Rhinolophus ferrumequinum: one gene and its partners. The protein of the gene in region 2 interacts with the protein of the main gene of each other region in a pairwise test. Links are inferred from orthologs where the notes say so. Each region holds a gene or a part of one and is shown on either strand. Other genes may lie near its edges. The genes, in order: MOB3B, NT5C2 and NUDT18.

What was found.
Region 1: the proteins of NT5C2 (region 2) and MOB3B interact in binary tests that used the Homo sapiens proteins (3 or more experiments, as listed by UniProt). The two-hybrid records come from large-scale screens. The link is inferred for Rhinolophus ferrumequinum from reciprocal best matches to the Homo sapiens genes NT5C2 and MOB3B.
Region 3: the proteins of NT5C2 (region 2) and NUDT18 interact in binary tests that used the Homo sapiens proteins (3 or more experiments, as listed by UniProt). The two-hybrid records come from large-scale screens. The link is inferred for Rhinolophus ferrumequinum from reciprocal best matches to the Homo sapiens genes NT5C2 and NUDT18.

The regions. Positions count from the first base shown.
Region 1 is NC_046295.1:13,774,370-13,781,617, forward strand, and holds the start of MOB3B (MOB kinase activator 3B), read left to right. Parts: upstream 1-4,208; 5' UTR 4,209-5,748; exon of another isoform or gene 5,749-5,761; intron 5,762-7,248. UniProt on the Homo sapiens protein: Modulates LATS1 expression in the Hippo signaling pathway which plays a pivotal role in organ size control and tumor suppression by restricting proliferation and promoting apoptosis.
Region 2 is NC_046299.1:22,023,255-22,030,200, forward strand, and holds the start of NT5C2 (cytosolic purine 5'-nucleotidase), read left to right. Parts: upstream 1-3,850; coding exon 3,851-3,951; intron 3,952-6,946. UniProt on the Homo sapiens protein: Broad specificity cytosolic 5'-nucleotidase that catalyzes the dephosphorylation of 6-hydroxypurine nucleoside 5'-monophosphates.
Region 3 is NC_046301.1:44,313,688-44,320,996, reverse strand, and holds the start of NUDT18 (8-oxo-dGDP phosphatase NUDT18), read right to left. Parts: upstream 3,079-7,309; 5' UTR 2,964-3,078; coding exon 2,706-2,963; intron 1,869-2,705; coding exon 1,655-1,868; intron 1,429-1,654; coding exon 833-1,428; 3' UTR 1-832. UniProt on the Homo sapiens protein: Mediates the hydrolysis of oxidized nucleoside diphosphate derivatives. Hydrolyzes 8-oxo-7,8-dihydroguanine (8-oxo-Gua)-containing deoxyribo- and ribonucleoside diphosphates to the monophosphates. Hydrolyzes 8-oxo-dGDP and 8-oxo-GDP with the same efficiencies.

The DNA of each region.
Region 1 (7,248 bases), on a different chromosome or scaffold from region 2:
AGCTTCAGACATTACTTTGACAACCGCCTCAGGTAATTTTCCTCCATTAATAACTGTTAACAAAAATTATTAAATTTCCTTTGATCTCTAGCCTAGCATTTGGGATCCCAGCTATCTAACTGCACGCCTAGTCCTCATACCAGCTATATTAATCTTGATTCCCAGGACACATCTCGCTCTTTTCTACCTTCCTGTATCTTTACTCCTGTGGTTCTATCTGAAACAATCTTTCGAACTCCACCGATGTCCACCATCTTTCACTCCAGCTCAAATGCCACAGTCTCCCTGAAGCTCCCCGTAATCGATTTCATCCAAACTTAACCTTGCCCATATCTATGCTCCACAGCAATGTGTTGGCCTTTTCTACACTGCCTCCCATAGTCTTTTTTATATTATTGTTATTTGTGTATTTGTCATTCTTGTTAGATTATAAGCATCTTGAGGACAAAATCCAGGGTTGCCCACTGCCACATGCTAGTGGCAGGGGACGGTGAGGGATAGACCACCAGCTTCCATCACTCTGCCAAGTCTCAAACCTGCTTGCACAATGTATCAGGTGCATGACTGTGAGCAAGTTACTTCAACTTTCTAGTCTATGATTTTCTCACCTGTACCAGCCACAGAAAGATCTTGTGAGAATGCAATGAGATGTTCCCTGTAAAGTGCTTAGGAAGCACATTATAGGTACACAATAGATGTTCAGTATTTACAGTATCTATGGTGAAGTCTCTTCATTAATTAATTAATCAATAAATATTTATTGAGTGCTATATTAGTCTGCACAGGCTGTTATTAAAAAAAAACAAAACATAGACTGGGTGGCTTACTCAGTAACATTTACTTCTCACAGTTCTGGAGGCTGGGAAGTCTCAGGTCACCGTGGCTGTCGGTTTGGTTCCTTTTAAGGATTCTCTTCTTGGCTTGTAGACGGCCACCTTCTCGCTATGTCCCCACATGGAAGCAAAGACAGAGCTCTCTGTTTTCTTTTTTCCTTTTGTAAACCCCCTAATCTTATCATTGAGGCCCGCCCCCCAATCAGCCCATGTAACGCAAATCTCCTCCCCAAATGCCATCACATTGAGCGTTAGGGCTTCAGCACATGGATTTGGAGGAGGGGGACACACTCCGGGCCATAGCACGTGCCTGTACATTTATTGAGATAGTCTAGGGATAAAGAAATAAGCCAAACAGACAAAAATCCCTGTCTCATGGAATTTATATTCTAGCGGAAAGAGTAAGGGAGTGTGTGGTAGACAGAATAATGCCCCCCCCAAAGATGTCCGTGTCTTATCCCCATGACCTGTGAATGTTATGTGGCAAAGGGGGATTAGGTTGTCGGTGGAATTTAAGGGTGCTAATCAGCTAACCTTAACATAGGGAGATAATCCGGGATTATTCTGATGGCCTCAATATAATCACAAGGGCCCTTATTAGTACAAAGGGAAGCAGAAAGGCCAGAGTGATGCAATATGAGAAAGACTCAACCTGGGTGTTGCTGGTTTTGAAGATGGAGAAAGGGGACCACAAACTAAGGAATGCAGGTGGCCTCTAGACGCTGATAAAAACAAGGAAACTGATTCTCTTCTATAGACTTCAAAAGGAATTCAATCCTGGGGACACCTTGATTTTAGCCCAATGAGACCTTTATTTTATTTTATTTTATTTTATTGGGGAATATTGGGGAACAGTGTTTTTCTCCAGAGCCCATCAGCTCCAAGTCATTGTCCTTCAATCTAGTTGTGGAGGGCGCAGCTCAGCTTCAAGTCCAGTTGCTGTTTTCAATCTTAGTTACAGGGGGCGCAGCCCACCATCCCAGGTGGGAATCAAACCGGAACCTTGTTGTGAGCCCGCTCTAACCAACTGAGCCATCCGGCCACCCAAGACCTGAGACTTTTAACCTTCAGAACTATAAAATAATAAATTTGAATTGTTTTAAGCCACTAAGTTTGTGGTAATGTGTTACAGCAGCCATGGAAAGGCGGTATATATATCGGATATCAGATGGCAGTACATTCTATGGAGAAAATTGGAGCAGGGAATGTGGATAGGGAGTGTTGGAAGGGGGTGGTGATTGCACAGGGTGCAACTCTATTTTAAATAGAGTTGAAAAGGGAGGCCTCTGGTGACTTTTGAGCAAAGAACTGAAGGAGGTGAGCTAGAAAGTTATGAAGTATCTGAGGAAAGAGTCTTCCTGGCAGAGGACACAAAGAGTATGAAAGCCCAGCGGTAGGAGCTTAACTGGCATTTCTGGAAACCACAGAGGGCAGTGTGGATGCCGTGGAATTCGTGATGACGAAAGTAGTAGGAGACAAGGTCGGAGATAAAAGAGGTGCTGTTTGTGTTGGTTTTACTCTGAGTAAAACAGGAAGCCCAAGGAGGATTTTGAGTAGCCGAGTGATATAATGTGGCATACGTTTCAACGGAATTGCCCTGGCTACCGTCTTGAGACTAGAACATACAGAGAGCGGGGGCGGGGAAACAGAGGGACCAGTTAGGAGGCTATTGCAGTAACCCGGGCTGCAGGAATTTGTGGCTTGGACCAGGATGCAACTGTGGAGGTGGTGGAAAGAGGTCTGCTCTTGGATATCTTTTGAAGGCAAAAACAAGATTTGCTGATAGATAAGAGGTGGAGTAGAAAAGGAGAAAAGTAAAACATGATTCCATGATTTGGGGCCTTAAATAACTAAAAGGTTGGAGAGGGGGAAGACAGCAGCTGGCACATGTCTGAGGTGGGAGATCAGGTCAGTTTGGGTGAACTTGGGTACCTGAATCCTCCCCTCCTCCCATTCTGTCCCTTCAGATTGTTTTCCCACAGAAGCAAAGAAGCATCCACATAAGGAGTAATAGCCAGTGGGGAACAGTATCTATTCAATCCATGATGAAGTCAGTTTGCCATACAATACCCTTGCAGGGCTCTGATAAAAGCTGCATTTCAGCATGAGATGTAGCCCAGGATGCTACAGGTAGAATGTTTGTGTCCTCCCAACATTTGTTTGTTGAATCCTAACTCCCAGGGTGGTGGTATTCAGAGGTCATGAGGGTAGAGCCCTTATAAATGGGATTAGGGCTTGTATAAATGAGCTGAGAAAGCTTCCTTGCCCCCTTCTGCTATGTGAGAACACAGCAAAAAGAGGTCTATGAGGAAATGAGCCCTCGCCAAACACTGAATCTGCTGGTGCCTTGATCTTGGACTTCTCAGCCTCCAGAACTGTGAGAAATAAATTTCTGTTTATAAGCCACTCAATCTGTGGTGTTTTGTTATAGTAGTCTGCGCAGGCTATGACACAGGAGAACCACGGAGAGCTTGATTCTTGAATGCTGGCTCTTCCTAGCAGATTCTGAAAGTTGAGCCATCCTCCTCAGCCACCAGTCACAGGGAGAAAAGCTGGGTGAGAGCTGGGGTAGCTTTAATCTGGTACCCCACTGATTGACTGGTGAAAGTTATACCGGACACACTGAAATCCCTCCCAATCACCAGATTTACCATTCCTCCCCAGGGAAGGAGCCCCTACAGGCATGGCAGTGTGTTGAAAGTCCTCTTTCCCTACAGGCAAGGCTGAAACCGAGTAGAGAGGCTGTGACAGTTCCACTAACATTTTTTGATTAGAATCAACTGCCCTTTTCACTCTGTGCAAGCCCTGCTCGTCTGCACCTTGCGGGATGTGCCCTATCTCCAAGACAGAAGTTACATCTCAATGCTCTGCCTTAGTTGCTGAGACAAGAAACCTTATTTGTTTCCCTCTCTTCTTGACAGGACCAAAAAGATCATGTAATGAGAATTCTTGGGCAGGCAACAAACAGCCTCCTCACAGTTAGGGACCAGTAACGGAGAGAGACGTACTATTAAGCTAGAGCGATTTAGAGACACTTCCTTTGCAAGGTGGCACCTATGTTTTGTTTTAGTATTTTATGGTTTTATTTTACATATATATGTATATACACACACACACACACACACATATATATATACATATATAATTAAATATTTAAACCATCTGAAATTTATGTAAGTTTAAGGTTATATTTAATTTTTTCCAGAATACTATACAATTGTTTCAACACCATTTGTTAAATCATTTCTTTTTCCCCATTGCTAAATTCTTGTATGTATTTGCATCAACTTCCCATGTATTATCTCCTTTCATCTAAAATGGTCTTGTAAGATAAGTATTGTTACAGATGAAGCTACCTGGGACGGAGAAAACTTGTATCTCAGAATTAGGAAAACACAACAGCAATAGAATATGAATATGAAGGCTTGAAGAATATTGAAGACCTGGCAAATGCATTTGTAGTAGATAAAAGCTTCATAGATAAATTTTATTCTAGTTATTATAGCTCTAGCCAAAAGAAATAATACGTGCAGTAAATGCCTTGTTAAAAATAAAGAGAGACCCTGCCATCCTAATTGTTCTGGATGATGAAGAGCTGTCTGGCTGCCACGAGGCCAAAAGATCACAAGAAGCTTTAAAAGCAGCGACTGGGGCTTGAGGCAGTTTGGAAATGCGATTGCATTACTCAGTGATGAGCAGAGAGACATTGCTTCGTGGCTGCATTTTTGTATTTGTTTTTTTCCCCTCATGTTTGAATTTCATATTCACAATCTCCAATACGTTTGTGTTGCCTAAGTGATACAGAATTAAATCGAATCATTTACTCCAGGGTTGATAGCATTAGACCATGACTATTTATTGAATAGTTCTTGCAATATCAGAAATACCTTGATATTGCGAAAGATATATATGGTTTTAGAGGTTCTCTTCTACTAGCTGTGGAAACCACTTTTGGGGGAGCGTGTTTTCTCCATATATCCTAATTTCTACTTAATATACTTCCATACCTCTTTAAAATGTGTAAGAAGAATTATAAAACGAAACGCTTAGTTATGTGGTACTCCTCAATCAATATACATTAAGATGCAATCAGATGGGGGAATAAAAAGATATGGAAGACTCGTTCTTTTCTTCAGGAAGCTTAATATTTAATAACTTCTACTGTGAACTACGGACACTTTCTATGTTTAGTTTACCCCTTACAACCACCCTGCAAGGTAGATATTGTTCTGTCAAATTTAAGAGGCAAATACTGAGGCGTATAGACCAAGAACACACAAGTAGAAAGTGGCAGGCTGTAGATTGGGCCTCAAAGTCCGTGCTCATTTCATTACTCCTAGCTCATTATGATAAACCTGGCAGAATCTCAAAGTTATTTTCTATTGATTAATGCTCCTCCTCCATCAGGCGGTCCATGGCATTTTTCAACGTCAGAAAATCTTGGAGAAGATACGGGATTTCCCCCTCTCTAGGTCCCTTAGCTGCTTGTGGACCCAGAACGCACCCTTTCTGATCCGATATCTTCCTTGCCGCCCTGGCCAGAGGGTCAAGGTCTTTTCCTTATGGTTGAGAGCCCCAGTAGACTGTCCATTCCACACCTTTTTCCCAAGGAAAGATGACCCAAAGGCGACCTGACTTCTCTTCTCCACGGAACTGCCATTCCGTAAGCGGCCGCCAGGAGGTCCCGGCTCTGCACCCCCGCGCGGCTGCCGCGCGTTGAGTGCTTGTGGGGGCTACTTTGGAGCCACCGCGGCTGCAGCTGGAGCCCCGCGCTCGCTCGCCCGCGCGCTCCTTGGGCCCGGAGCCCCTCGCGTGGATCCATAAGAGTCGCCCCTCCTACCCGAGCTCACCCTCTTCCTCTCGCGCTCGCTGCAGCTGACCCGGCGCAGGAAGCCGACAGGGCCCCAGGCTGAAGGTAAAACCCCACGGTGAGTGAGATCCCGCTCCAAGCGAGGGAGGTGGCGCAGCCTGGCAGCTGCTCGCTCCGGGTCGTGCCCAGGCGGGCAGAGGTGTTGGACGCACCTGGGGGCAGATGCACAGAGGGACTGGGGTGGCGGATCCCGCTTCCCCGCCCGCCCTCCACGTGCTTCCGGGGCTGGAATCGGCTTCAGACCCTTGCCCGCGGCTTGGCTTCTGGCCGGCTCACCGCGCAGCCTTCCCGGGCAGGAACCAGAGTCGGGTCTCCCCCGCCCCCCCCCCCCACCGGCCGCCTCCCGGCTGCCGGGCCCTGATTTTAAAACACATATCAACAAAATCCGTCTTCCTTCGGGGCACAAGTCTGTCCCCGAACCCAGCCCGAATCGCAGATGACTGCAGGGTGCGTGTTGGGCTGTGGGTGGCGGGAAAACAAACTTTTACAAAAGTGCGCCTGGGCAGGGGGATAACGTTTAGGGCGTATTGATCTTGAAGGAGAAAGTTCGGTTTGGGATTGTGAAGTCCCCTCCGCTACGTCGGCCAAGTCGCCCCCTGAACTGTCGATGCTTCGTGGAGGGATAGGGTGTGTAAAGGACGCACAAATCCTGCTGAACCCCGGGCCAACAACTGTCAAACATCCCAGCCCCTCCCTTCCCTCTACTGAGGAAGATGGTGCAAACCCTTTAACTTTCCTTTGATTGCTCCTCCCTGCCTTTGGACCCCTCTCGTAAGGGTAAAGGGCTGACCCCTGGCGCCTGGCGCCTGGCAATTAAGTATCAGATACCCCAAACTCCCCAGGGTCCTTCTTCACCCACCTTCCTGACCCCCTCCCTGATGCCCTCCCCGTAGAGACCACGCGACAGAGCCTGTTAAGATCCAGGCGAATAGCTTTTTGTTTCTTCGCGTTTCCCCTATTGTGTGCCTTTCCAACATCTGGCGGGGCTCAGAGAGAGAAGGAAGCCCCTAGCGTCTTCCTCCCCAGCCCCCCACGCCAGCCACCGGACCAGCTCCGGCCCGGGATCTCGACCCCAGCGAGGCCGCCGCACCCGGGCCTTGCGGTTAGAGGGCGGAGGGAATGTTGTTTCTTCCCCGCCTCCTCGGCTGCCTGTGGCCCAGGGCGCATTTCTCAGATCATATGCCACACGCACCGCAAAAGGCGCAGATCCGAAAGGGGCGCTAATTTCGAGAGAGTGGAAGCATGGTTCCACCCTATTCCAGGGTGTCTGTCGGTGGGTTCCAGGGGACTTCAGTCTCCGCTGTGGCTGGGCCGCTGCCAGACAGCGGGATGGGATCAGGGCACTTCTGGCAGGCAGAAAGCCGAGGTTCTGAGGTCTGCGAGTTTCCAAGGGCTGAATGGCAGGCGAGTCGCCTTAAAGACAATGATGACGGAAATAACCTAGGAAGCCTCAAACCTTTGGCTAAAATAATGGTGAAGTGGCTCCCTCCAGAATGAACGAGGAGTTCTGACTTCGCCTAGGGCTCCAAGTTTACATCCCAGGCC
Region 2 (6,946 bases):
CTCTGCCTTCTGATGGGAGAGTTTAAACCATTTACATTTAAAGTAATTACTGATAAGAAAGGAGTTATTTTTGCCATTTTGCTATTTGCTTTCTATATGCCATTTTTTTGATCTCTCATTTCCTCTATTACTGCTACCTTTTGTGTTTAGTTGATGTTTTTAGTGAACTGTAAGAATCTTATAATACTACTATTTTGTCCCTACTCATTTTTGGGCTAGTGTTGTCATACATTTTATTTCTACATACGTTATAAATCTCGCAATACATGGTTATTTTGTTTCAAAGTTATCTTTTTAAAAGATTTAATAGTAGGAAAAATATTTTATGTTTATCTATTTCTTTGTATTGATTGATTTCCATCTGGTATTATTTTCCTCTTGCTCGAATGACTTCCTTTAAAATTTCTTTCAGTCTACTGGTGATGAAGTCTCAGTTTTTGTATGTCTGAAAAAGTATTTTATCTTTATTCCTGAAAGGTATTTTTGCCAGGTAAAGAATTCTAGGTTGACACTTTTTTTCTTTTAGTATTTTAAAGATGTTTTTCCACTTTCCTCTAGCTTCACTGCTTCAGATGAGAAATCTGCTTTTTTCTTCTCTACGTTATAGATCTTTTCTAGCCTTTTTAAGTTGGAAATTCATATTTTATTTAATTTTTCTTGAGTATTTGAATACTTTTTTAGTAAGAATTTTCCTTACCCTGTGATTTTTTAATAAATTTATTGGGGTAACATTTGTTAATAACATTATATAAATTTCAGGTATACAGCTTTATAATATAACATCTGTACACTCCATTGTGTGTCTACCTGCTTGTTAATATTTTCTCTTTATCATTCTTTTTAAGGAATTTGATTTTGATGTGCCTTGGTATAATTTCCTTGTTTCTTGTGCTTGGGGTTCACTTAGTTTTCTTGGATTTGTGGATTTATCATTTTCATTAAATTTGAAAATTTCACCCACTGTTTCTTTCAAGTTTTTTCCATCTTCTCTTTCTTTTTTCCTTTGTGACTTCCAATTACATGTATATTAAGCTGCTGGAAACCATTGCACAGCTCATTGGTGCTCTGTTAATGTTTTTTTAGTCTTTTTAAAATTTTAGTTTGGTTAGCTTCTATTGCTATGTCTTCAGGTTCACTAATCTTTAATCTGCCGTTGATCCCATCCAGCGTATTTTTCTTGTCAGATGTTGTGGTTGTCATTTTTAGATGTTTGATTTGAGTCTTTTTTTTTAATCTTTCATGCTTGTACTTAACATTTTCAGTTCTGTAGTTTTGGGGACACATGAAATATATTCAATTATAAATTGTGTATTAGATGATGTATTAATTGAATTACATATTATATATTGAATTTTATTCAATTATAATAACATGCTTGAGTGTTAATTCTATCATCTGTGACATTTATGGATTTATTTCTCATTTTGGATCATATTTTCTGCTTCTTTGGATGCTGCTAATTTTTGATTGGATGCCAAACATAAATTTTACCTTCTTGGATGCTGGATATTTTTGTATTCCTATGAATATTCTTGAGCTTTGTTTTTTGACATGGTTAAATTACTTGGAAGCAGTTTGATCCTTTCAGGTTTTGCTTTTAAGCTTCGGTAGGCAGGACTAGAGCAGTTTTTAGTTTAGATGATATTGCCCTACTGCAGTCACAAAACCCTCCCAAGTGTTTTACCTAATACTATGTAAATGTTGAGGTTTTCCATTTTGGCTGTTTTGGGCAGGAACTATTCCCAGCCTGTGTGAGCTTCGGGGATTGTTCCTTTATACCTTTAGGCCGGTTCTTTTTCAGGCCTCAGGTGGTTTCCTCATCCATATGTGTGCTAATAGTATGTGAATAAGATTAGAGAGTTCACCCTGTGCAGACGTCCGTAATTTTTAAAAGTAAAAAGAGGTAGACTTTTGTGAATACTGTTTGAGATTTTAGAAAATTTGAATGTGCCTAAGAATGTGTAACAATAAATAAATGAATTTTATTTCCTACGCTTTATTGTATGTACTATAATTGCAGTAGAACTGATGTTGAAGTCCTTTAATAGCATTCTGATCTCTCCTAATTCATCATAGAATACAGATTTCATTTCTGAGTCTTATTTAAATTTATGTAAGATATAGTGCTGGTCCTCACCTCCACCAAAAAAAGAAAAGAAAAAGAAGATCATTGAAGTTCCGTTGTAATTCTCTATTTTTAAATTTTCTTTTTTTGTCCACAAAATAATCTTGATTTGCTATATGAATTTTTAAAAAATAAAACCCTCGTAGTATATCTAAATTGTAATAGTTCAGCAAATAACTTCTCTCAAGTTAATTTTATACTTTAATAAGATTTTAACTAGACTCTTTTGTAAGTACCAGTGCTTTTATTCTATAAAGTATTTGGAAATCTTGATTACTTAAAAATTATTGCAGACCTAAGTATTAGGTTGGTGCAAAAGTAATTGTGATTTAAAAGGTTAAAAACAGTTGCAAAAACCGCAGTTGCTTTGGCACCAACCTAATATATATCCAAAAGAATTGGAAACTGGTACATTGTATGTATAGGTTCATAGCAGCACTATTTATAATAGGCGAAAAGTGGAAATAATCTTAATGTCCATCAGCAGATAAATGGATAACAAATTGTGGTATATACATACAGAGGAATAGTTATTATCCAGGCATTAAAAGGAATGAAGTATGTGAGGCGTAGTACAACATAGATGGAACTTGAAAATATGCTAAGTGAAAGAAGCCAAATGCAAAAGGTTACGTATTGTATGATTCTGTTTACATTAAATTTCCCGAATAGATAAATCCATAGAGGCAGAACCTAGATTGGTGGTTGCCAGGGGCTGGGGATTGGGGATAATGGGGAGAACTTAATGGGTAAGGGGTTTTACTTTGTAGTGATGGAAATATTTTGAAACTAATAGAGGTGGTGGTTACATAACATTATGAATGTACTAAGTGCCACTGACTTATGCACTTTAAAATGATTAATTTGTGTATGTTAATTTTGCCTCTGTAAATTATTTAAAAGCTGCAAAGATGATTTATTTAAAAATTGACTTAATGTCATAAATGATGTTAACATTTTCAAAATTAGAAATAAGTTAGGTTGCAGATGTTTTCACATTGGTATTTTAATAAAATGTTAAATTTCTTAACTCTAAAAGGATATTTTTAATCCTTCTTTAAAACTATTTACAGATGAAACCTCAAAAATAGAAGTGAAACCTAGAACAATGCCTAGTGTTCAGGTACTCCAGGTAGACACTTAGCAGCTCGCCTCCTTTTCGATGTTTACTGTAACGAGATGAAGAGTTTTAGTTTATTCTAGTCCATAGTTTTTTATACCAGCTGAAAGGCTGAAAGATAATATTTTATATAAAAGTATAAAAGCATTATATATAGAAAGCAAACATTACTTACTTTTGTACCACTGTTCATTAAGGTTAATATGTTGATCAGAATTTAAAAATTGTTTACTTTACACATTTTGAAACGTTAACTGAAAATTATGTATTTCCATAAATCTGTGGTCTCAGTCTCTTTTCTAGAACCGGATTAAAGTTATTATTGGCAGTTATGCTTAATTATTTGGAAGAGATACACATGATCTTTCTGGGTAGAAGTTGTCATATGAAATTATTTTCCTAAAGTCACATAGTTTAGAAGTGTCAGTATATCTTCCATAAATTTATCGTATTCAGTACATTTAAATAGATAATTATATCAGGCAATTGGCAAGCTAGAGTTTTTCTAATTTTTAAAAACATCAGATATCAGCATACAGATACCAATATTCAGCTGCTAAATTACAGTACTGATTGTCTTTTCTAGAATTCAACGTACAATTAAAATGACAACCTCCTGGAGTGATCGGTTACAAAATGCAGCAGATATGCCTGCTAACATGGACAAGCATGCTCTGAAAAAGTATCGGCGAGAAGCCTATCATCGGTGAGTATTTTGTCTATTTAATCTTCAAAACAGCTCTGTAAAGTGAGTACGTATCATCTTCATTTTATAGATGATGAAATTAATGTACAGAGAAGTTAGGACAAATTACCTAGATCATATAGTTAGTTTATAGTTCAAACCCAGTCCAAAGTCCAGACTTTTAACCACGCATACATTATACTGCTGCTGACTTTTATTTAAAATTTCTCACTGCTGCTTATTAATAAAAGCCCTTAAGAGTAGAAAGTTTTCAGCTGCTGCAAAATTGCACCTTAATAAGAATGAAATTCTCAATTGACATTTACCACAAATTGATTATAATCTTTAAATAGATTTTTAAAATTGTATGTACTTGCTACTGTGTGTTAGATTGAATGTGGGTTACTCTGGGTATTAGCAACATTTTCTTATATTGATACAAGACTTCAAAATTTTCTCTAAATCATTTTTCTTTATTAAACATTCAAAATGTATTTTCAGTTTGCCATTTTTAATAGATTCAATTAAATGGCTGCTTCTACCTAAATCTTAAGTAGCTAAGATACTTAGAAGTAGGTACTGCATTTAGGAATCATTTGTTTTTAGAAGAAGTTAGAAGTTTATACTTCCTGTAAATTTATAGGATAGAAAGATCTGGCTCCTACTAGAACTATCTCTGCCTCCCATTCTAAGGAAAGTCAGGAATAAATAGAAGTGGTGGTGTGTTGGTAGTGCTAAAACGTTGCATGGGAACTCCAGGAAGTCTACAACTCATAATTATTCATTTGTTGTGGGACTAGAGGAAAGAGGAAATGTTACTTTTTTTTTTTTTTTTTTTTTTTTTTAAGATTTTATTGGGGAAGGGGAACAGGACTTTTTTTCCAAGTCAAGTTGTTGTCCTTTCAGTCTTAGTTGTGGAGGGCGCAGCTCAGCTCCAGGTCCAGTTGCCGTTACTAGTTGCAGGGGGCGCAGCCCACCATCCCCTGCAGGAGTCAAACCGGCAACCTTGTGGTTGAGAGGACGCGCTCCATCCAACTGAGCCAGCCCGGAGCTCAGCAGCAGCTCAGCTCAAGGTGCCACGTTCAATCTTAGTTGCAGGGGGCGCTGTCCACCATCCCTTGCGGGACTTGAGGAATTGAACTGACAACCTTGTGGTTGAGAGCCCACTGGCCCAATGTGGGAATCGAACCGGTAACCTTCGGAGTTAGGAGCATGGAGCTCTAACCGCCTGAGCCACGGGCCGGCCCGGGAATGTTACTTTTAAAATTTTTTAAATATTTCTGGAAAAATGTCTAAACTTGTTTATACAGATAAGTTAAAATAATTCTGACAAAAAAACAATTCTGATTCCATTCTTCTCTGTATAGAAAGCTAGGTCAGAATTAGGTAACATTTTGGTATTTTAGAAGAGTTAATATTTTGAAGAAAATAGTTACTTGATATTGAATGTTTTAAAAGTTAACTATTGTATTAATAGTTGGTTTTTAAAGTAGTCTGGTGACATTTGCCTGATGGTAGGTCACTCACTAGCTTTTTAAAAATTTACTACAATATTTATTAATGTTAACATTATGAAAAAAAAGTAATAATAGGGACAAACATTGTAAGTACTACTTGTGCTATATAATAATCTCTTGAAAGCTTATATCAAGAGATAGTTCAAGATGAAAAATTAAAAACCAACTTTCAAAAGCAAAAATCTTTACATTCAAATTAATTAACTCACTATATATATAAACTTTTATCACTTTCTGCATATATAAACTTTTATCACTTTTTATCACTTTCTGCTAACCTGTATCACATTCTTAGAAGGATGCAAATAGTGAACCCTTAACCTCCCGAAGAGTGCTAACTTTTGTACTCTGAGGGTTTAAAACATGGGTACTGCCCTTTCCAAATTCCAAATCTTTAATTCTGCTTTTTCTTTTTGCTTGTTATATTCATTGGAAACGTTCATAACTCCTATATTCTTAATTTGGTTTGGTCAAAGGGGTTTTATGTGTTCTTAGCATCCAAAACAATTTCAAGTCTTTGTTGAATGGGCTGAACAACAGCTTCATGCAGTGGAAACCATCCTTTTTCATCAGCTTAATCCAATGCATATTTATATTTCATATACTCTGGAAGGTCAAGAATGTGACCTAGATTAAACATGTGGGCTTACAACACACATCTCTTGGCAAAGTAGAAGCTCCAGTCCATCCCACTGTAAGCAATATACCCATTTACTTTGTTTTATAGCCTCCACAGTTTTCTGTTTTGATCACTTAGTGGCGCAAATCTACCAGGGAAAGAAAAGAAAGATATATTTATGGTAGTGCTATGCTTCAAGGTGCCAAACAATTTAATATATATTGAGTTTTCTACATAATTTTAATAATCAAGATCTACCTTGATCTATCTTCCTTGATTTAATAATCAAGGAAATGCACGCAACTGATTTTATCTACTTTAAAAATGTAAAAATCTAAGAGTCAGATACATATATTTATGATACATTGGACATAGGAACATTAATGAAGATGACAAAATACAAAATTATAATATCGTCTCTGAAATTAGTGCTAAGCAGTGAAAAAGAAGTTAACAATTGGCGTCAGAGTCAGAAGCGCTGAGTTCAGATTTTATGAAATTGTGATTGTGGGGAGGCCAATTTGCCTCTCTCTGGGTGGTGTTTCTTGATCTGTAAAGAGATGGGGTTAAATAAAGAAGATCTCTAAGGTTTCTTCCAACTTTAGAAACTTTGTTCAATAATTTTTTTTTGCTTTGAACTTAATAATTGTGAATTAGTAATTGCTTACATGGGAGCTTATGATCCACAACTGCATGCTAGAATCTTTAATCAACTGATCCACAAATGAAAACATTTACTGAACAAACTCACAGTCAACTGGCCCAGCGGGTCATAGTTTTAACCCCCATGACAATTCTCTGGTGCATGTTTATGCAAAGGAAAAAAGGTATTTCATAACAAACTGATGTAACTATTAAGCAGAAACATCTGCTATGCAGC
Region 3 (7,309 bases), on a different chromosome or scaffold from region 2:
CAGAGGCAGGAGCCTGGCAGAGTGGCACAGAAGGGGTCAGAGAGCTCCAAGAGAAGGAAACCCAGGCGACGGAAGCTCTCACAGCTCCTTGCCCACCTGGAGCTTCCCTGGTGTTCTCACTGCTCAAACCTTGATGGGGATACGGTCACTTCCTACCGTGGCAGGCAAGAGGAAGAGGGCCCCAGTGGGCCCAACACAAGCCGTGGAGGACACAGACAGCAGGAAACCTGCCTGCTTCAGTCACCCCTTACCCGGCAGACTGGCCCCTACAGCGTCAGCTTGCTGTCTAAGATGGCGTGGGTGGCTGTCAGTGGTACAAGGGGAGGAACTTCTCCTCTGAGGGCAGTCCCCCCTTCCTGCTCACTTCCTCCCCACAGAGACATTTAGGTGGGAAGGTAAAGTAAGCAACACCTATTTATTCAGCAAGGGGACCATTTCCTTGGAGTGACCTCCCACAGCACCCCATGTTCTAAGTGCCTGAGAATCTGAATTTAGGCCTTTACCAAAGGAGGAGTAGGCGTGGAAAATGATAAGATGCCATCTCAGGTTCAGAAAGTTCTTGCATCCCCTTAGGGAGCGGTGCCCTCATACCTCTGGGCAACTGGGTTCTTGAGCTCTGGACTCCTTGCTTGGTAAAAGGCACTGTCCCTTTTGGTACAATGGAGGGACCTGCTCCACAGCGAGGGGCGATGGAAGTCCCCCTGAGCAGGAGAACTGCCCTGCTCCCAATGTGAAAAGATCCCTGATTGCTAACCTGCCTTCCTCAGAAGGAGGCAAAACCGCGGTGGAGGGAGCACAGGCACCCACCTCCTTGCTCACTGATGGCACCTTCCTATCTATTGAGGGGGACGACAGATGATTCCTGAAGCCTCTGTAAGAGCTGGCTTTGTAGGTCTTCCTCCATCACTTTCCACCAAAAGAAGTTCTCACCCTGAACCTTCGGGGGCTCATTTTGGATACCTGGGTTCCGAAAAGCCACTGTCACCAGAACATTGAGGCAGATGCCATCTGTATGGTCTTTGCCCAGGTGCTGCAGTCCAAGCAACCCCTTGGTCTCCACTGTCAAGTGGTGCAGGGTCAGACACTCCTGCAAGAGCCGCAGGATGGCCATCTTGAGTCCACCCCTCTGCTCCACAGGGGTAAAGCCACAGGCCGAGATGGGCAAGTGAGGTACCCCCCCTTTGCCCACCAACACCCACACTGTCTGGACACTGGTAAAGGTGGCCACAAGCCGCTGGCAGACCACAGTGCAGGGAAGCTCTTGGGGCAGAACAAGAGGGTGCCTGGCCTGCCGGCAGTACTGGGCGGCCAGCTCCACCAGGGGCAGAATGTCAAGGGCTCGCAGCGGAGTGGGCAGGGAGGTTCGTGGGTACCAGCCAGCCTGCAGGGACTCCGCATCTGCCTCCTTGGAAGTCTTGAGAACTCCACCTGGGGGAGCGGTGGGGGACAGGGTGGGGGAAAGGGTCCGTGTTGAGAGAAGTGCCGGGCCTGGCAGAGTTGATAGCCACCCAGGCATTCTAGCTCTGACCCTCAGACTGAAATATGGAGATGCCAGGCTTGTACCAGCCACAAAAGGGGCTCATCTCACGGGAGGTCAAGCTGGGGGAAAGGTGTCGATTGCCCCATGCCCACAGTGCCACCAGGTGGGCTGTACCTGTTGGGCGAGCGAGGAACACGAAGCGGATCCAGGAGGGGCCCCTCTCCTCCACAGACAGCAATGTCAGAGGCTCACAGTGCAGCCCGGCCTCCTCCTTCATCTCCCGCTGTAAAGCCTCCACGATGGTCTCCCTGGGCTCCATCCTCCCCGCGGGTAGGTACCATGACCCGTGGCATTCTTTCTTGGCCTCCTGGATCAGTAGCACCTCATCCTGAGGGGAGAGAGAGGATCCTCACCCCCACACAGCCAGGCTGGAAGCCTGTGTTCCAAAGGAGGAACACAGCCGGAAGCCTTCCTGTGCCTTGGGGACAGAAATCTCAAACACAGTCGCCCGGTACCCCCTTACTGGTGGACACCTTCAACCTCTTGAGCTCTCCTGGGGACTGGCTCTTCTGTGGCTGCCAGTTGCAGATGCCCCTCTCTGCAATTCATCCTTTTGCATTTGGACTTCCATTTCAGAAAGCGGCTAAGATTCCCGGGAGTTGCTTCAAGGACAGGGAATCAGGCCCCACAAGGGGAGGTGCCATGTGTCCTGCACTGTCTGCATATGTCACTGTCTCTCTCACCTCCCCTCATGGTTTAAAAACTGCTTGTGGCCCGTCCTCACACTGAAGTCTGCGGTTGAAACATGCCCCCACCCCACACACTATACAACTCCTACCTATGGTCCCGGTCCCTTCTAACTGTTGTTACAGCAATTTGTACAAGGATCAGCACCAAAAAGAGCATCACACAGGGGTGAGTGGGTCTGAGCGTAAGCGCAAGTTGTGCCATTACTGTCCGTGGAATTCAGGGGAGGTCTCTGCAGCACTGGACAGATCTTTATGAGAGTCCACTCCGCGGCGGCGGACGCTATACTAAATTCTGGGGAAAGGAAGAGGAATAAAACAATCCCCCCTCAAGGAACTGAGGCCTAGTGGGATGAGACAAAGGCTCCTGGCCTCGGTTTCCTCCTCTGTTCGTCGGACAATCGTAGGGCTGGGCCGCACAAGGCTCAGGTGTCAGTGTGAAGTGAAAGTGCTTTGCAAAACTGGAACGCGCCACCCACCAAGAAGCGGTGGCTGCTGCCGGTAGGTCGTCTGTCCCCACGGGGCTGGCTGCGCGCTCCGGGACCCGGGCGGAGAGCCGGCGGGCGGACGCTCACCTGCTCGTTGAGGCACACGGCCAGCACCACGTAGCAGACGTTCCTCCGCAGCCGCACGGGCGCCGGCGGCTCCTCGGCCGGCTCCGAGTCACAACTCTGCACACACAGTCCCCGGCCCCCCAGCACCGCTGCCAGCTCCACCGCCAGGTCTTCCGAGGCCATCCAGTCCCTTGGGAGGCGGCGGCCGTGCCCCGCAGACCCGCCGAGTCGGGTGGGGTGCAAGGCGGTGCAGCCGGTGGTGCGTCACCCTGGCCCTCGTCCCCTCCCCCGCCGACTCGCGCCGGGCGTGCTCGCGAACGAGGAAGCGCCGGCCAAGTCCCAGCCACTGATAGGCTGCGCGTCCCCGCGGCCTGCCCGGATTGGCTGGCTCGCGCTGGTCACCGCGTCGTGCGGCCCCGCCCGCTTCGGCTTCTCTAAGGGTTCCTTCCTCTTCGCCCTCTCCCGGCACCTCTAGCCGCCAGCCTTGCTGATTTCTCCATCGCGCGCAAGTCCGCACCGGTTTCGAACGGGTACGTCATCCTGCCTGCAGGCTGCGGAGAGCCACAGTGGCCAGCGACGGTAGCATCACAACAACACCGATAACGTCACGGAGGCCCGGGGCGAGGCCGGGACCCACTGTCCAGCTTTGGTCATAAACATACCACTGCTTTGCCCGAAACGATCACTTCCCCCCAATAACCCCCGTTTTCACTAAAAATGTACTGAATGTCACCGTAGTGGGGGGAAGGGAGGAAGAGAGCTCTTGCCTTGAAGGAGATTCTGATCTAGTTGGGAACGTAGACATAGACATGTTTAAAAAAACAGTCAACTCAGTGTTATAAGACAAGTGCTAAATGATTGGTTTGGGCCGGAGGTGTGACGGTGCTCAGAGCAGGGAGAGAGCAGAACTGGGATGGCCAAGGTGCGCCTGATGACGGGAGGAGGGGAGCTGGGGCAGAGAGAGGGCCGGGGATAGGCAGGCAGAGCCCTCACCAGTGTCCCGACCCACTGCCCACGCCATTTCCCACATAGTTGCAGGGCCCTCTCCGTGCAGACTGAGCCGTGCTCCTTCACCTTTGTTGCCCCCCCACCCAGCTGGCTCAGGCAGCCCCATTGAGAGTAGGGTGTGGGTGTTGGCTAGCTCCTGCTTCTCTCCCAGCTTGACCTTTCCTCCTCAGAGGTTCCTTTAACCTCCTCTCAGGACAGGACGGCAGGGCCAGCTGGAGTGAAACTGTGAAGCCAGCCAAGTCGGGGCTCCTCATCCTCAGTTAGGTCTTCCCTTTTCCTCCTGCTGGCTTAGTGCACCTGAGGGGACAGTGGCTTGTTGGATCAGACGAAGCATTGGACTTGGAGCCAGATACCAGGCCTCTGCTTACTGGCTGGCTCTGTGTCCCTGGAAAAGGTGTGGGCCTCAGTTTCCTCATCTGTAGAATAGGCTCACAACAACTGTTCCTTCACACTGTTGGGAAGGTGAGACGCCATGGGAGGAGCTCCGTGGGCAATCCAGCATAGGTCACCATCACCAGGCAGCCCACCAACCCCCTTGCTGGGCTCTCCTACTACCACACAAAGGCCCACATTCATGAAATGTGCCCCCAGGCCACCTCGGAACTAGCTTTTACTAAGGAATTCCAGCTGCACCAGATGGCCTCTGTAGGCCCTTCTCACAAACTGAAGTGCCTGTGAATTCCCTGGAGGTAGGGCCCTATATTAGTCTGTGGGGGATCCCCAGTGGGCCTGCAATCTTTTGAGGCACTTGGTGAATACTGCTGCCCTCCAGCCCTAAACATCTCACCTCCCAAACAACTGAATGACGGGACCGAGAGTCGGGACTCCAGGACTGCAGAGCAACTTGTCAACGTAGTTGGTGTGTGTGTGTGTGTGTGTGTGTGTGTGTGTTTATCCTCCGGTTTTCCCATCTGTGAAGTGGGAACAGTATGGGTCTCAGACTCCTTTTTGCCTCCCGGGGATGATTTGAGAGAGAATGAGGTCATGTCTGGGCAGGGCTCTGAAAGCCTCAGAGGCAGCCTAAGATAAACACCAGACGGCCTGACTGCCTGGAACAGCAAAGACTGCAACAAACCCTGGCTCCACTCCCCCCATTATCACTGGGAAAAGCACTCCTGTGAAGTGGACCTAATCACCTTGTGGTGAGAAGCACATGAGGCAACGTGAAAGTCGCTTGTAAACTGTGAAGGGCGGCATAGGCAAGGCCCTCGAGGGGGTGTACCAGCCCTTCCGGAGAGCGGAGGGAGACAACAGGAAATACACTTTTTCAAGGCTTTGGGAGAAGGAGAGCACACATTAGACTGAGGCAGGAGAGGCCCTGAGACAGAATGGGAAAAGCGGAGGCAGGGAGGGGGTGCTGAGATAGAAACCGACAGAACCAGAAACAAAGAAAGGTCTCCATCCAGTTTGCTCTGCGCCCTCTATTCCCAGAGAGGGAAGAGCACTGACTGGTGGGGGTGGTGGGCAAGAGTGTCACACAGTACAGGACCCACAGGAGCGAAGGCTGAGCCAGCCAACTCAGGGCATGTAGACCTGAGTGTGCTTGTAAGCACGTGCACAGGAAGGTGATGGAGGCAACCTCGGAAACAGGGACAGGGATGGGCGGGAAGGGTGGGGCAAGGGTGTCTGTGACGCTAGATTCATTCACAGAGCAGCCAGCCCTGTCCCTTGTCAAAGTGGGAAGGGCAAGGAGGACAGTAGCCCCAGGTATAGGGAGGAGGAAGCTTCAGCCTGCATTCTGCCACTGGCTTGCTGAATGACCTTGGGGGAGCCACATCTATCGTCTAGGCCATCTGTATGATGCAGGCTCAGGTGCATCCTGAAACAGAACAGACATTAGTGGAAAACTGGTGGAATTCTGTGGGGACTGAGTCCCAGAGAGCAGTTTCCTGCTCTTGACCTCATGTGGAAAGGTGCTGGCTCAGATAGTAGACGGCCATCAGCTGTGATCAGATGGCCATCAGCTGTTACCGGTTAGCCATTGGCCACTGATATAACTGCCGTGGCTAAGCTGGTTGATTGGTTGGTTGACAGAGAAGCAGACGGCAGGTTGCGGATCGTGTGGCTCCTGCTTCCTGTGCCTCCAACCCAGCTGCCAGCGAGAATATAGTGGTATGACGCCCCTATCTATGGCTCCGTTGTTCCTTTTTGGCCTCACCATATCCCGCGTTCTTGTGCGGGGAGCAGGAGCTGAGACCCTGCGTGACAAATCCCAATAAAGTCTATTGCTTAGTTAATAGTGTTGTATCGAAATTAATTTCTTAGTTTTGATTATGTACCGTGTCAACATGAGAGGAAGCTGGATGAAGAGTAACTGGAAACTGTCCTATCTTTGTGACTCAACTGTAAATCTACAGTCGTTTCAAAATTAAAAATCTAAAATAGTGTACTTTATAAGAAAAACTTGGCATTTGGTCTACACACCTGAGGTCATTTCCAGCTTTGAGGGCTGTGCCTCTGTGCCGACTGGGCCAGTGAGAGGGGCTGGAGGAGGTTGCTGGGAGCAGCAGAGGCCAAAAGGGCAGGGCTAGACTGAGAGGGGAGCCCGCTGAGCCACCTTGGGGAAGAGGGCCACTGAATGCTTCACGCTGAGTCTCTGGACCGGTCCCCACCTGGACTGGCTTCATCCCTGGTCCAGTCCTGGGACATTTGGCCCACCTGTGTTTGCAAGGAGTCAGACCCACTATGTCCTTGGAGAGTGCCGTGACCTACCACGGAAGGGGAGGTGACAGAGAGGTCTGTGGGGGAAGAAACAGGCCTAGTGACAGGGCCATCCCCATCTTCCCACAGGAAAGACTCCGTGTTTGGGGTCCTGGGGTGACATCAGGACACAGCTATGTAAGGTGAAGTGTAGGTAGACATGGGTCACTCATTGCTACTTGGAACATGATGAGCTCTAACGTGCTTATGTTGGAAGGAGGACAGAGACGACAGTAAGCCCATCTGCAAAGGCCATTGAGTGCTAAGACTATAATGTAAATGAGGCAGCCGGAGTCAGGACACTTCGTTCAAATCCCAATTCTGCCACTAAATTGCAGTGTGACCTTGGGTAACTCCCTTATCCCTAGCCTGTTTCCTCTTCTATATAATGGAAATAAATAATATCTACATAAAAATTGTGGTAAGGGATGAAATGAGATCAGTTAAATGAAAACTGACACCATAAAGTGTGGCAGTTCCTTAATTTTTTTTCTATCCCATGAAAAAATGAAAACCCAGCTTTGCAAACAATGAAGAAACAACTTTTTTTTTTTTTTAAATGAGGGACGATTATGTAAATCATGGCACAGCCACTTTGGGGAATGTAAGCAGCTGTTTAAAATGAAGGTTAGGTATCGACATAGAAAATGATCACAATAGTGTTAAAAGAAAGAAACCAAGTACAAAGCACACCAATTCAACTATGTGTAAAACAGACCCGTGGAGAAAATACTAGAAGGAAATACACCAAAATACTATCCGTGGTTGGGTTGGGGGGTGAGTGGTGGAGGGCTTAGAGGGGACTTTGTCTTATTTTCTGA